Macaca mulatta: one gene and its partner. The protein of the gene in region 1 interacts with the protein of each later gene in a biochemical or structural test. Links are inferred from orthologs where the notes say so. Each region holds a gene or a part of one and is shown in the gene's direction. Other genes may lie near its edges.

The links. The genes of interacting proteins can lie anywhere in the genome.
Region 2: the proteins of FGFR2 (region 1) and FGF10 are reported together in a solved structure, tested with the Homo sapiens proteins (3 studies listed by BioGRID and IntAct, with this or other methods). The link is inferred for Macaca mulatta from reciprocal best matches to the Homo sapiens genes FGFR2 and FGF10.

Annotation. Positions count from the first base shown.
Region 1 is NC_133414.1:133,685,935-133,693,013, reverse strand, and holds the start of FGFR2 (fibroblast growth factor receptor 2), read left to right. Parts: upstream 1-3,268; 5' UTR 3,269-3,751; intron 3,752-5,149; exon of another isoform or gene 5,150-5,260; intron 5,261-6,921; exon of another isoform or gene 6,922-7,070; intron 7,071-7,079. UniProt on the Homo sapiens protein: Tyrosine-protein kinase that acts as a cell-surface receptor for fibroblast growth factors and plays an essential role in the regulation of cell proliferation, differentiation, migration and apoptosis, and in the regulation of embryonic development.
Region 2 is NC_133411.1:45,619,753-45,626,221, reverse strand, and holds part of FGF10 (fibroblast growth factor 10 precursor), read left to right. Parts: intron 1-3,719; coding exon 3,720-3,823; intron 3,824-6,469. UniProt on the Homo sapiens protein: Plays an important role in the regulation of embryonic development, cell proliferation and cell differentiation. Required for normal branching morphogenesis. May play a role in wound healing.

The DNA of each region.
Region 1 (7,079 bases):
CTTCCAGTGATCCGCTTGCCTCGGCCTCCCAAAGTGCTGGGATTACAGGTGTGAGCCACCGCGCCCGGCCACAGGTCACACAGCTATTGAGTGCAGAAAGCTGCATCCAGCCTGTCACCTTAAGAAAGCCATTCCCCTTTGTCTCAAAGACAGGCTATACTTCCAGAAGGACTTTGTCTCCGGGGAAGCCTCGGCTTTGGAATTCAGGCCCAGTTCTAAGTTTAAAATAATTGATGCTGTTCAGTAGTGGGATCAATGATTTTGCTTCACTTAAATGCCACAAGCTCCCTGAAGATAGGCTGGAGCTGTCAGGGGATCCAGCCTCTCCCCTTACCCAGAAGTAAATACTCTTATCATAGTCCTCTGACTATTCTATATCCTTCCATTTGAGTGCTTCTTTCATGCTGCAGGCATTATTGAGACGTAGCTTACAGAATGAAATTCCTGGTGTTGCAGGGAGCTCAGATCCACCCGGGAAGGTTCACGAGCACTTCATGTCAGCAGCCTTTATTTTCATCTAACGTTTCCTTAGAGTGAAGGAACAGCCACCCATTACAAAACAAATTATTAAAAGAAGAATTCCAAATCTTCAAAGGAGAGAGGCCCGTGGCAGTGAGTGTTCCCACCCCCTTCTCCTTTCTCTTCCCATCACCAACAGGCTAGCAGCACAATTTGTTTCTTGAAACTTTTGGGGGCATCGGAGTTCTGGTGTCCTCATTTTTCTTCCTTCCCATTGATGTATCATTACTAGAGTGAAAAAAGAAGGGCGTCTCGAGGGCTTTTGAAAAAAAAAAGGGTGACTACTCAAGACATTTTGTAAAGGGGGGAAAATTGCGAAGAAAAGAGACCTCAGTAGGGGGTGGAGGGACTGTGAATGTGTCCTTGTCTGGCGGGTCTTTCAGCTGAAACCTGGTGCTGGCGTTCGCAGTTCAGTTCAAACTGTCACCTTTAGTTCTTACTGGCTTTTCTGCCCTTGCCCCAGAACCTCAACAGATTGGGGCTTATTTACCTATTCACACTCTGCCGTGGAAGCTCATTAATAGGCTTTATTAGCAACACCATTCATGGGAGGCCATTGACGAAAGGGGTTCCAGCCACTTGAAGAGGGAAGAGAAAAGAAAAAAAACTGTAAAGAGATTATTTTCTCATTCAGAAGCCTCACTGGTGTGAAGGTTTTCCCGGACGGTCTGAGGTCACTTGAAGACTAAATATGGGGACAGAATTATTTTTTGAAAATAATTCTAAACATGCTTTTTTTTTTTTTTTTCCCTCAAAACCGAAGAGTTTGCTATTGTGGACTTGTGGGTTTCAGTCCCTTAGAAATGAGCACTCTTTAGGGAATAAGGAGCTTTTGACAGATTGGTGTCTTTTCATCTCTATAAAAAATACATTCTGCAAACTGTGCCTGGACATTAAAGTAGGTGTTCTTATTTGTCATTTTCAGTGGAAAGCTTCCTTTCCACTCAACATGCATAAAGCTATTGATGAATGGAGGATAGGGACAGAGGCTTCCTGCACCATTAATTTATGTGAGAATGTGTTAACAGCATTTTCAATGGCTGATGGATGCGGTGCAGGATGGAATCTGTCCTGAGACACTCGAGTGTCCCATTGGCGGGGAATATAAAGATGTAAGTGGCAGCCTGCGAGCAGGCAGACGCGTTCAGCTGCATCCCTTTTCTGAGAACTTGAAACATACTGCTATCAGAGGAACCCAGGTGGGAGTGAATGGCTAAGCGTCACCTGGGCTGAGGTGTCTGTTAATGTACAGGCTCTGGGCTAATCCAGGTTAGAGGACTTGACCAAAAACATACCCTCCTACCAAGCATATAGAGGGATAATTTTACTTAAGAACCAGTTTTTATTTTGTTGCTATCAAACTTCCAAAATATAATGTTATAGCCTTTTGCCTGAGACAGTTAAATGGATTTCTTACTTGTATGGCTTTTAAGTAACTTGTATAAACGTTTTCTGTGCTATATTGTGAATAAAAATGATTTTCTAATCATGTGGTACCTTGAAAAATATTTTTGTAAATGTTATGAAGTGTGCAATGTTAGTGACACAGGTGCAAATACGTTTCTAAATGCAGGAAAAGTCTGTTTTCCAAGTCAGGTTTGTTCTCAATGCTTCATCTATCTTTAGGCCTCAAAAGGATTCTAAAGCATTTCTGGGTTTAGTGACCTTTTCTAAAGAAAAATAATTAAGGTTTTAATCTATATGTCTTGAACTTAAGCACAACTGCTCAGGAGCTGGATGAATAAGGAGGGAGAAAAAGCATATTTAAAATAAATTATTCTGAAGACATGGCTTAGTGAAAAGGTGAATGGAAATAGGAACTTTAACCAGTTACAGCTTGGCGTGCAGTTGAAGAATCAGATTTTGCATTTATGATTTTGAATCTAAGATTCAGAGGGAGGAATTACTTTGTTCAAGGTCCAGCTATTTATGGTAGAGTCTTTAGACTCCTTTGAATTTCGTTTTATTAATCCAAACATATATACTAAACACTTTTTTTTTTGGATGCAATTTTTGACTTTTTCTGAGAGAGCCACATTCAAGGTCAGGCTCTCCTAGTAGCCAGCTGTGTGATCCTAGGCAAATTACTTAACCTCTCTGATCCTTAGTTTCCTTATCAGAAACTGGGAATAGTACTCTGCAGGGTGGTTGGGGAGACGAAATAGAATCACCTATGTAGTGTGACCCTCACATACTAGGTCCTCCATTAATATTCAGTTTTTTCCTCTCATTTCTATTGTTTAGAAGGACAGAAAAATGCAATGTCCTGCGAACATTTCCAAGTTGCTTTCTCTCCTCCAAAAGCTTCAGTTGCCTGACAACCCTCCCCGCAGTACCAAGAAGGCGCATTTTAAAGTCTCTTTACGGGGAGGGCAGGGTTAGAGCCTTTGGTCACTTGTTTTCTAACTTGACATAAAACAACGTAACGCAGCCGCTCAGCGAGCCGCTGGCCAGCCTCGCTCGCCCGGGGAGGAGGGAGGAGGTGGCGCGGGGCGCGGGACCAGGCCTTATTCGGAGGCTGTCGCTGCATCCCTACGGCCGGATCGCGGCCGGGCCCTCGCCTCCCCGGCCGGTGTCTCCGGCAGCTCGGAGGCGTCGGGAGCCGCGCGGGGCTCGGGGCGGCCCGGGCGCGCGGCGCTGATTGGCAGAGAGGGCGCCGCCGTCCAGGAAACGGCTCGGGTTTCAGCGGGGGCGTGACCCGCCGCGAGGAGGCGGAGGCGGCGGCGGCGGCGCGGGCGGCGGCGGCAGGAGAGCGCGGTGGAGAGCCGAGCGGGCGGGCGGCGGGTGCGGAGCGGGCGAGCGAGCGCGCGCGGCCGCCACAAAGCTCGGGCGCCGCGGGGCTGCATGCGGCGTACCTGGCCCGGCGCGGCGACTGCTCTCCGGGCTGGCGGGGGCCGGCCGCGAGCCCCGGGGGCCCCGAGGCCGCAGCTTGCCTGCGCGCTCTGAGCCTTCGCAACTCGAGAGCAAAGTTTGGTGGAGGCGACGCCAAGCCTGAGTCCTTTCTTTCTCTCCTTCCCCAAATCCGAGGGCAGCCCGCGGGCGTCATGCCCGCGCTCCTCCGCAGCCTGGGGTGCGCTTGAAGCCCGGGAGCCTTGGCGCCGGCGAAGACCCAAGGACCACTCTTCTGCGTTTTGGAGTTGCTGCCCTCAACCCCGGGCTCGTCGCTTTCTCCATCCCGACCCACGCGGGGCGCGGGGATAACACAGATCGCGGAGGAGCGTTGCCATTCAAGGTAATCGCCGCGCAAGACGCCTCGGGGAGCTTCCCCAGTCGGGGACGTGGACGCCAGGGGAGCCCGGGACGCCGGGTGCACAGTCCTCTGGGCGGGGGGCGCGGAAGGACTGGCATTGTGGAGGGCCCTCCGTGTCCTCTCTCTGTGGCTGCATAGGTGATGGGGGAGGTGGGTGCCTGCTGACGGCCGGTGTTCGGGAAGTTCTGCCTCTGCCACCCCCATCCAGATGCTGACATCTGCCTCTGGCGTTGACGCCCCCCTCCCTGTCAAACCCTGGCGGGCGCATTCCCGCTGACTGGGCACGTTTCTCCGACCCCAGAGCAGACTGGCCGAAGGTTCGCCTGCCCGTGGCACAGCCCCGCAGGCCGGGTCCCAGGGGGCATCTCTGAGGTGCTCCATCCGTGGGTCCTGGGAACTTCCGTCCCATCCAGGCCCCACGGAGACTCGTTTTTCGGGAGGGGGCCGCTGGGGTGGGGCCGGTGACATCCCGTAGGGGTGGCGATGGTCAAGGGTGGCACTGTTGGGGAGGCGACGGCTCCAGTGCCCGGTTTTCGGTGCCGGGGCGCCCCTCGCCCACAGCCGCCGTCGGCGCTGGAGGGAGCGCAGCGCGCCTGGGGCTAGGGGGCGAACTGGACCGACTTTTTCTAGTTCGTCTGCTTGCTCTGCCGCAGCGGCTGGGAGATGTCGAAAGCGCAGGCGAGTTCTAACTTGCGCGCTCATTCTTGCTCATTCTTTCGGCGACGGGGCCGCGCTGGGGAAATCAGCCGAGGGCCCTGCGTGGCGCTGGCTCCGACCCTCGCGGACCGCGAACCTGGCGCAGGAGGCCGGCCCGGGGGCACCAGCCTCCGTCGCTCTCCTCGCACCCCATTCCCTTGCAGATCGTTCTCCAGACCCTCCTTCTTTTCGCCCAATACAATAAAACCTACCCTTAAAGGCAAACCTGCTTTCAAACTCAGGGCACCCATTATGTGTTTGGTGTGAAACGCTATCAACATTTAAAACTCCATTGTCCCCCTGGTCCCAAATCCCTGTAAATCTTCCACCGGGCTCGACTCATTTTCATCTGAAAAGCCTGTTTAGTTTGAATAGAAAAGCAATCAGGCGCCCCTCTCCCTTTCCCTGGAATGTCAATTAAAATGCAGATTTCTCTGAGCTCTTTAGCGCCCCGAGAAGGGGGAGAAAAACAGGATATTTCAGGCAAACAAATGAAAGAAGTGCTGCCCTGAAAGGGGGTGGTGGTGAGGAGCACCCCCAAGCTGCTCGCAAGTTCTGATTGGACGCAAGCATTAAACTGGGAGGGCATTGTGGTCCTGAGTCAGTGTGTGTGTTTTGAGATTTCAATTTGTTGAGGAATTTCCCGCCCAGACTTGACCCCTTGACAGCTCCCGCTCCTACTCAGTGCTGGGGAGAAGTAGGGAGGCCTTAAGCGAAGAGATGGGTCTGCACTTTGGAGGAGCCGGGCACTGTTGACTTTCCTGATGTGAAATCTACCTAGGAAGAAAACGCCAGGTGCTCCCGGTGGCCGAGCCAGCAGTGTGTCGACAGATCACCCCTTAGGTGGAAGCCCAAAGCGGAGGGCATTGTATTGATCTGCCTTCTTGGAGGGCCGGGGTTTTGGGAATGTCATGGTAAATTGAAGAGCCCAGCACAGGCCTGGCATGGGGACCACTCCGCAGCCAAGCCCTTCCTGCTTGTCACTCTGCCTGTCTTTGGGGGCAGGCTTGTGCCGAGGTGAAAATGGACCGGGGGGGGGGGGCGGGCGGCCGAGAAGAGCCATCCATCAGAGGGAGGGTGACAACTCCTCCCGCGTGCAGGCTGAGAAGAGAGTTCCCTTTCAAGGGGAAAAATAAACACGCTGGGGCTTTCACTGGGGCTCAGACTCCAGGAAGGATTATGGTATTGAAGGCAGGAAGCCGGGATTGTGGCCGCCAGCGGCATGCTGGGCCTGTGTTCCCAACACCGAGCCTGGGGACCTAATTATCCTGCCTAGGAGGTCGCACCATACTTTTGTCCACTTGGGTGAGGAACTGTGCAGACCTGTCGCCTTAGGTCCCCGCCTTCCAGAGTTTTGGGGAGGGGGCTGCTGTGGGGCTTGGACCTGGAAATGGCTGAAATGCAAATTTCTAGTGCAAGCTAGCAGGATGATGGAATGGCTTGAGATTCAGCGGAGAGCCCTGTCCACCTTTCTCTGCCTGGAGCCAAGGAGGCTCCTCTGGTTAGGGACAGGTAGGGGAGCAGGCTGGGGAAGGAGCCTGGGGCGAAACCTCTGCGAGGACTTAGGATTGTTCCTGAAGGCGTGTTAGAGGTAGAAAATTCCCCTGCATTCTGGAAATGCTTAGTAAATCAATGAGAATGTTTGTGTACTTTCCTCCCACATATGTGTAGAAATAGATCCGAAATTATCTTTTGAGGCTCTTGATTAAGAGGAAAGAAAAGTTAGGAGGAAAAATCTTTCAAGCTATCTGAAAACACATGCACACACACACACCATGCACGCACACACACCGTGGACACACACAACTGCACACATTTCTTGTTTTTGCTGCGAATCATGCCGTTTCACCTGTGCTATCTTTGAAGCTGAGGTTTTCTTTATTCCTCCTTTGGAAATGATGTGGTATATTCTTTTCCCTCATCCATTTTTATCCTCAGTCAAAGCTAAAAGGAGCAGTTTTTATGATAAGATTTTGGGAGGCTCCAGCAGTGTTGAAATCCTATGTCATAACTTGAAACATCGAGTGGGTACATAAAAAATGTAGAGTTTAGAAATTTTTGTATTAAAGGCCTCCCTCCACCCCCAATGTTAGAAAATGTGGTTCATTCCTGCGGTTCACAGAATCTGAAGCCTGAGATTGATGTGCCCTTTCTTGTGATTGTTTTAATCATTCTGTAAAGTTTGTGCATTTTGACTCTACCCTTAGTCACAGAGGGTACTGAGTGAATTTAAAGTTGCTTGGAATGTATTAAGCTTTCTTGGAAAATTCTCTTTCCCTTGGATCAAATGGGTGAATAGAATAGTAAGCTGAGTGTCCTCTTCTAACTTATACTCTGAAAATTTAGCCAATAGGTTTGCATATTGAAAGTTATTGGTCCAATCACATACTATGACTAAAATTTACATAATTTACATCATCATTATTAATAAATTCCTGCATAATTCATCAGAATTTGCATCTGCTCAGTTTCCTAACCCTTCTACAGAGGTTGAAGACATTTAGCAGCCCTGGACTGCCATTTAGTCACAGGGGAAGGGAATTCAGGCTTCGAAATCCTTTTTGGATCAGCTGCATTGAACGCGCTGCAGTTGTGTTCACTCTTCGTAAGTGGC
Region 2 (6,469 bases), on another chromosome or scaffold:
TATCTCCCAACTTCACTTTTCCCAACTTCCTGCCTTGTTCCTTGTACTCCAGTTGGTAAATCAAACATCTTATGATATTTGAAAACACCATACTGTTTCACCTTAATGATTTTGCTCTTGCCTTCCCACCCTTCCCCTGGACACTTCTTACTCAACCTTCATGACTCAGTTCAGGTCTCATTTCCAACAGTAATTTGATCGTGGAACCCCAGCCAGTATGACCTGCCTTTATCTTTTCCCCATAGTCCCCTTGTCATCATCTTAAGTCATCACTTACTGCCGTGTAACATGTTTTATTGTAGTTATCTGTGTATTTGTCTTTTATTCCCAATAGTACATAGACTTTTCAATAGAAAAACCATTACGTATTTGACTTTATATTTTCATTTTCTAAAAGCGTACCCTTCTCCTCCTAGGTCTTCCTAAGTGACTGAACTAAATTGTCCAAAGACCCTTAAATAGATTCACAATGCTACCTGGGCTATTCATGTTTTAAGGGATATAAAAACTAATATAGTTACAACTTAATATAGATAATAGAATTTCACTACAAGAATATGCCTATAAATTTATAAAATATCTGATTTACATGAATGGGAAATATAATTCATGTGACCTTTCATTAATAATATAATTTTCAGGTGTTTCTTTGAGTAAAAAAAACTTTTTTTTTAACTTTTAATGTTAAGATAATTGTAGTCATAAACTTGTAAGAAACACAGGGAGATCCAGTATGCCCTCAACTCACTTTCCTCCTGGAGGCTCTTTTAACTGGTGTTTAGTTTTGCTTCAAAATATACACATATAGAACTATAAGCTACTGATCCAACAATCCTCAAACAAAATTCTAGAGCCCTTTTCCAAAAATAATTTGATAGGCAAACTTGATCATCCTTACCAAATAACAGAAAAAACAGGAGTGATTCCTTATGAAAAGTAAAGAAGTTCTCTAGGCTTCAGTCCTTCAGAGCTCCCCTTTTACATTCACAGATGTTTATAAGAGGTGCAGTCATTGTCCAATACCCACAAGATGATCAAATTATAACTTACCTGACCATATGCTGTGTCCAAAAATTATTTTCAAAATTCGAAAGGATTTTAAATCACCTATGTCTTCCCTCCTTCTATTTTGAGACAATAACTAAATAATAATATAAAAATAATAGCTAAACCTTTTTAAGCTTGCCTAAACTAGTGGCAGAGTGGGAAAAAAAAAGGTTGATTGAGTCTTTGAATATTGCGCTCCTAATCAGGTAAAGCAGAAAGAAACCAAGGCGTATCTAAGCTAAATATAATCTACAATACCACATGCAGTGCATCCTCAGAAATAATTGGTCAAAAATTCAGATATATATTATACTATTACTATAGCTCAGTCTGTTAGTATAGTTTAATCCCACAATGTTGCACGCACCTTCAAATATTGGTTTATTTTTTGATTAAAATCATCCTTCATTCCTCTTTGTTCTATTAATTTTCAGTTTCAAAAGTATACATAAGGTAATATCTTGCAGTTTACTGACAGTACTTTCTTGTCTTTTAGCCAGACAATGTAAGGAACTGCCTAATCTTTTGCCCCCGAATTCTACCTCCTGCTCTGCTTTGTATTTTCTGCTTATGACATAAATAAAGTATATTAGATTTTGTTCTCTAAGATTCAGACATTATCCTCTGTGGCATGCCATCATCCTTGGGAGGAACAGCACATTAAGTCATTAAAGAAAATTATCTTGATGAGTCATTTTGTCAGATGGTTTACAACAGGATTCCCTTGTAGGAATGGGAAAGAGGAGGAAGAGATGATGGAGAGGCAACATAGTCAGAGATGGCGAGCAATAGCATCTAAAAGTCAGAGGCTTAAGTGTTAACATCCATTATTCCTGACCGTTAGCACCTTACCACCTGTGTGTGTGAGTTAAATAATCTAAGTATCTTCCTTTTTTTTTTTTTTATTTGTAATCGAGACCAACAATAGTATCCTTAGAGGGTTATTGTGTGAATTAAAATATTTTTCAGAATATGCAAATAAATGTGTGTGTGTGTGTATTTGTACGTGTGTGTATACCTTAGGGCAACTATCAGCATAAGGGAAATGGATGTAAAAAAACCACAGATAATGTCTCCTTTATCCTTCACAATCTTTCCTTGGTTTTGGCTTGCAAATAGAGTGAGATATACCTCTTTTGATGAAAAGGAGTGCTGTGTTAGGTCAGAGACTTCCTACAGATACATGGACAAAAGGGTCTCTGACATGTAGTTTTGGCAAAGTCTCTGGTTATGTCAACTTTGCAACAGGGGAAACTCAAGCATTTCTATTAGCCTCCATAAGGCTAACCCGTGAAGGAATAGGACAGAAGGTATTCATCTCTCGAGAACAAGTTAAGCCACTCTATCTCTATGGGTAGAGTGAAAACATATAATCTGTAGACAACATTGGGGATGGTGTTTCTCATGATACATGACAAATGATAATATGCTCAACTTTCAGATTTTATGTATTAAGCCAATGGGAATTTGTATGTATTGCTCAGGATTTACAAAGCCCATTGAAGAATTTCCAAAATCTGGAACTGTTGGAGAAAAACTCCCCTCTAATGATAATTAAGAAGATACTAAGGAAAATTCTAATCATTTTATAGGTACTATCTCATTTAATATTCACAACAAAATTATGAGGGAGGTACTATTATGTTGCCCATTTTGCAAATAAAATTGAGTCATGGGACACTTCAGTGACTTCTACTGTGGTAATTCACTAATAAATGTAAAGCCAGGAGTTGAACCCAGGTATTTTGGCTCCAGGAGCCACATGCTAATCACAATGCTACTTCTCTACCCTGAACAAACTGCTGAGAATTTTGAAATATGTAGTTTTAGTTCCTTAAGTCTTCTTAAACTAAAATGGGTGGGCACTTCGGGTAGACGATAAACTGCCTTCCCTATTGTGATCTACGAACTTTTCCGAGAAAATTATCTTTAGATGCAGCAATAGAAACTTGTGTATAAGGGGAAAAGGAGCTGTTGTCTACCTCTTACTACTTCCCTCAATTTTCCATTTTTCCTAGAAAAAAAAACTTTAAAAGTCCATGTTTATGGATTTTCCCCCAACACAGAGCAGTGATTCTGCTATTTCAGAGACAGTGTAAATGTTGGGATTAGTCTCTCTGTATCTCAGAATGTCAACACATTTGCCAAAAATGAATCTATCAGTTAAATGTAGCCAAGAGATTTAGTTTATCTAGATCCTACAAAGAAGAAATAGTTTACCACTGTTTTTACATATTGAGGTAATCTGACATATTATTGACATGTGCTATAGATTTAATTTAATACCATAGTACAGATATGTGCTTTGATAACTTATTTTGAAATCTAAACTGAGTGGAGTTGTTTCAATATTTATAGGGTTGAAAATGCAGAGTTAGCAAAGGAAACATTTTAATTAAAACAATATTTTTCTATGTATGCTCAGAGTAAAATGAAGGGGAATTCTTTTAAAGCCTTATTACTTTCTTCCATATATTTGCTGGAAATACTTGCTGGGTTTTAAGACACATTGAACAAGATTTGCTTGTTTGTTTACCAATGTTTTGAGCCTTTTGTTTTTAGAACCACCAAAAAAAAAAAAAAAAAAAATCTCAATAGTTTCTTTTGATTTTACTTTTCTTCCAAATAGCTTTAGGATTATTTATTTAGCTTTTACAAATTGTATGTTTTAGGCATCCTGGAGATAACATCAGTAGAAATCGGAGTTGTTGCCGTCAAAGCCATTAACAGCAACTATTACTTAGCCATGAACAAGAAGGGGAAACTCTATGGCTCAGTAAGTATTCTGCTTTTGTTTTCAAATCCACTTCAGTAAATCATTACCACAGTTTTGGAATGTTTCCTCCAGACACTGAATAGCTTTGTTATCCTTCTATTGCTAGTAAATAGAGCCACAGTGGGTCGGTCACCACTGTTTCAAGGGCTGGCCAAACAGCTCTTCCAATTCTCTAATCTCCTCTGTTGTTCACCCATTAGTCCACCACACAGGCTGCTGCTGGCATGTGTCTGTGAATGTTCTAAACTGCTAACCAAGTCAGGCTCTCACGGAAGCATCTGGTCAGATTGGCACGGGAACTGCAGACAACTTGGAGAAAAAACACTAAGAATAAAGATCTTGAACTGAGTAGAAACCCATGTATTATGTGTGTGTTATGGCTGAAGACAAAACAAGGGCTCAGATGTTTTGCATTTTGTTAAAATCTGAAATGGGGAAATGCATCAAGAGACACCATTTTGCTTGTTGTTCAGTCAACTCTAGAATTTTATTTATCTAGACAATAACCATTAATTCAAATTATGCCTCAAAATCATATATATGTATATGGGAAATATTCTTTGCAATAGGGTCCTTGTGGAGCAGATATCCCTGCAGTCCTTTGGGCACATCCATGGCTGTATTCCATACCAGGTGTTGAATATTTGGAATACCACTTCTGCAATCTTGGATCAAACTCATTTAAACCAATTTTTTAGAAATTTAAGATCTCACTTAAAATACCAAATAGTTGTTTTATAATTGCAATTGTAACAATAATTAAATTACCAGCAGTGAGACAATTTGTCCTGTTCAGGTCCTTAGAAAAAAAATGCATCAATCAATCATATCAACATCTACCATATGCCAGATACTGTTTGACATATAAAAAGATGCATAAGAAAGAAGTATAGAAATGGGCCTTGACTTCAAATAATTTATAATATATTTAGGGGAAAATGTTAACAAATATGAAATAATTACAGCATCATTGGTTGTTACATGTATGAAAGGATCAAGTATAGTAAAGCAGCCCTATGATAAAGTTGGGAACTAAGTTTCAATCTCTTAGCTGTCATTCGAATGATGACAGGGGTATATTAGTTTGTGCATGTGGATCCATCTTATTGTGTCCCTCCCATAGGTACATCAAGGGGATGCTAACTGAATTTCATTTTTTTTTCCCTCTGGATTCTACTGCAGGGGAGTGTATCGAAGGCAGCTGTAAACTTGGAAAAACTTTAACTGAATTTTTTGGAGAACATGTAATGTTACATATGGCCAGAAATAAAATCTGTGACACAAATCTCTTAAATAATTTTATATTTTTCAAAACAGATCCTGTGTCATTTTTACACTTTTATGTAATCAAAAAGGAATTTCACTTTAAATTTGTAGATAAACTTACTTTATTGATTAGCATAAGGCTGATGATAGTGACCGTTTAGAACCAGCGGCTCTCAAACTTGAGTATGCATCAGAATCACTGGAAGGGCTTATTAAAAGACAGAATAATGGTACTCACAGCCATATTTTCTGATTCAATAAGTCTGTGGTGCAGTTCAAGAATTTCCATTCCTCACATGGTCCCAGGTGTTCCTGATGCTGCTGTTGCAGTAACCACAATTTGAGAACTGCTGGTTTGGACGTAGGGTAACCTTGCGTTTTACAAATATCAGACTTTTAACTGGGGAGTCAGGCATGCTTTGAGTTGGTCCCTGGGACTAGGGTAAATGGTTTTTTTGTGTGGGGGTCAGAGGAATTTTAGTAAAATTTCTCCATTACCGTGGCTCCCCTAATGAACTCAGAGGAATACCAGACGATTATAAAAAGTGGTTCCATTTAGGGGTTCACATCATAATCACTTTTGAGGCATGTTTAATGTTTTCATTAGTTAGTCTAGACCCAACGTCTTAAAGTCAGCTAACACTAATTTAGACTAAGGAAGAAAATGTAAATAATTTTAATGAATATAAAATATTTTAAATAATTTTAATTGATAAAATATACTTATTTAAAAACATGACATCAGGGAGAAATGGATAACTTTCAAATAAACTCTGACATAAAAATATTTAATAATCTTCTTCACATTTCTCCTTTTTTCTTCTGCCCCAACACAGCTCATGGATTGTGCTTATGCTTCATCTTGAGCTCTAAGCTCTGTGAATTATTTCATTCAAATTCTTTACCTAAAGTACAGTCCAGTGGCTTTCTATTATCTTCAGTGGCACTTAGCTGAGATTTCTCTTATTAATGTGTTTTTTGTTCAGTGTCTTCTCCCAGTAGATTGTGACCTTGGAGACAGCGAGGTCAGTCTTGTCCCCCGCTATTTGTTCAGCACTTAGAACTGTACAGAGCACAGTTATACATTGCATAAACCTAACCTCTCCTGGAAGCTCAGTCAATTACAGAACATGATTTACACTTCCAGCCTGTCTCAGAAAGAAACTCATTGTCTAACCATATTAGACAATGAAGAATATTAATTCTTTTTTCTGTGACTTTACATTTCTACTAGGAATAATGAAAAATTATGGCTTGTTAAAATTAAACAAAAAATTTATTCAAGTTGAATGTTCTGCTCAGAATGGAATAGGACTAACATCAAAATTTATGAATGCATATCTAATATAATTCTGTATATTAGGTGACTACTCTTGTAAT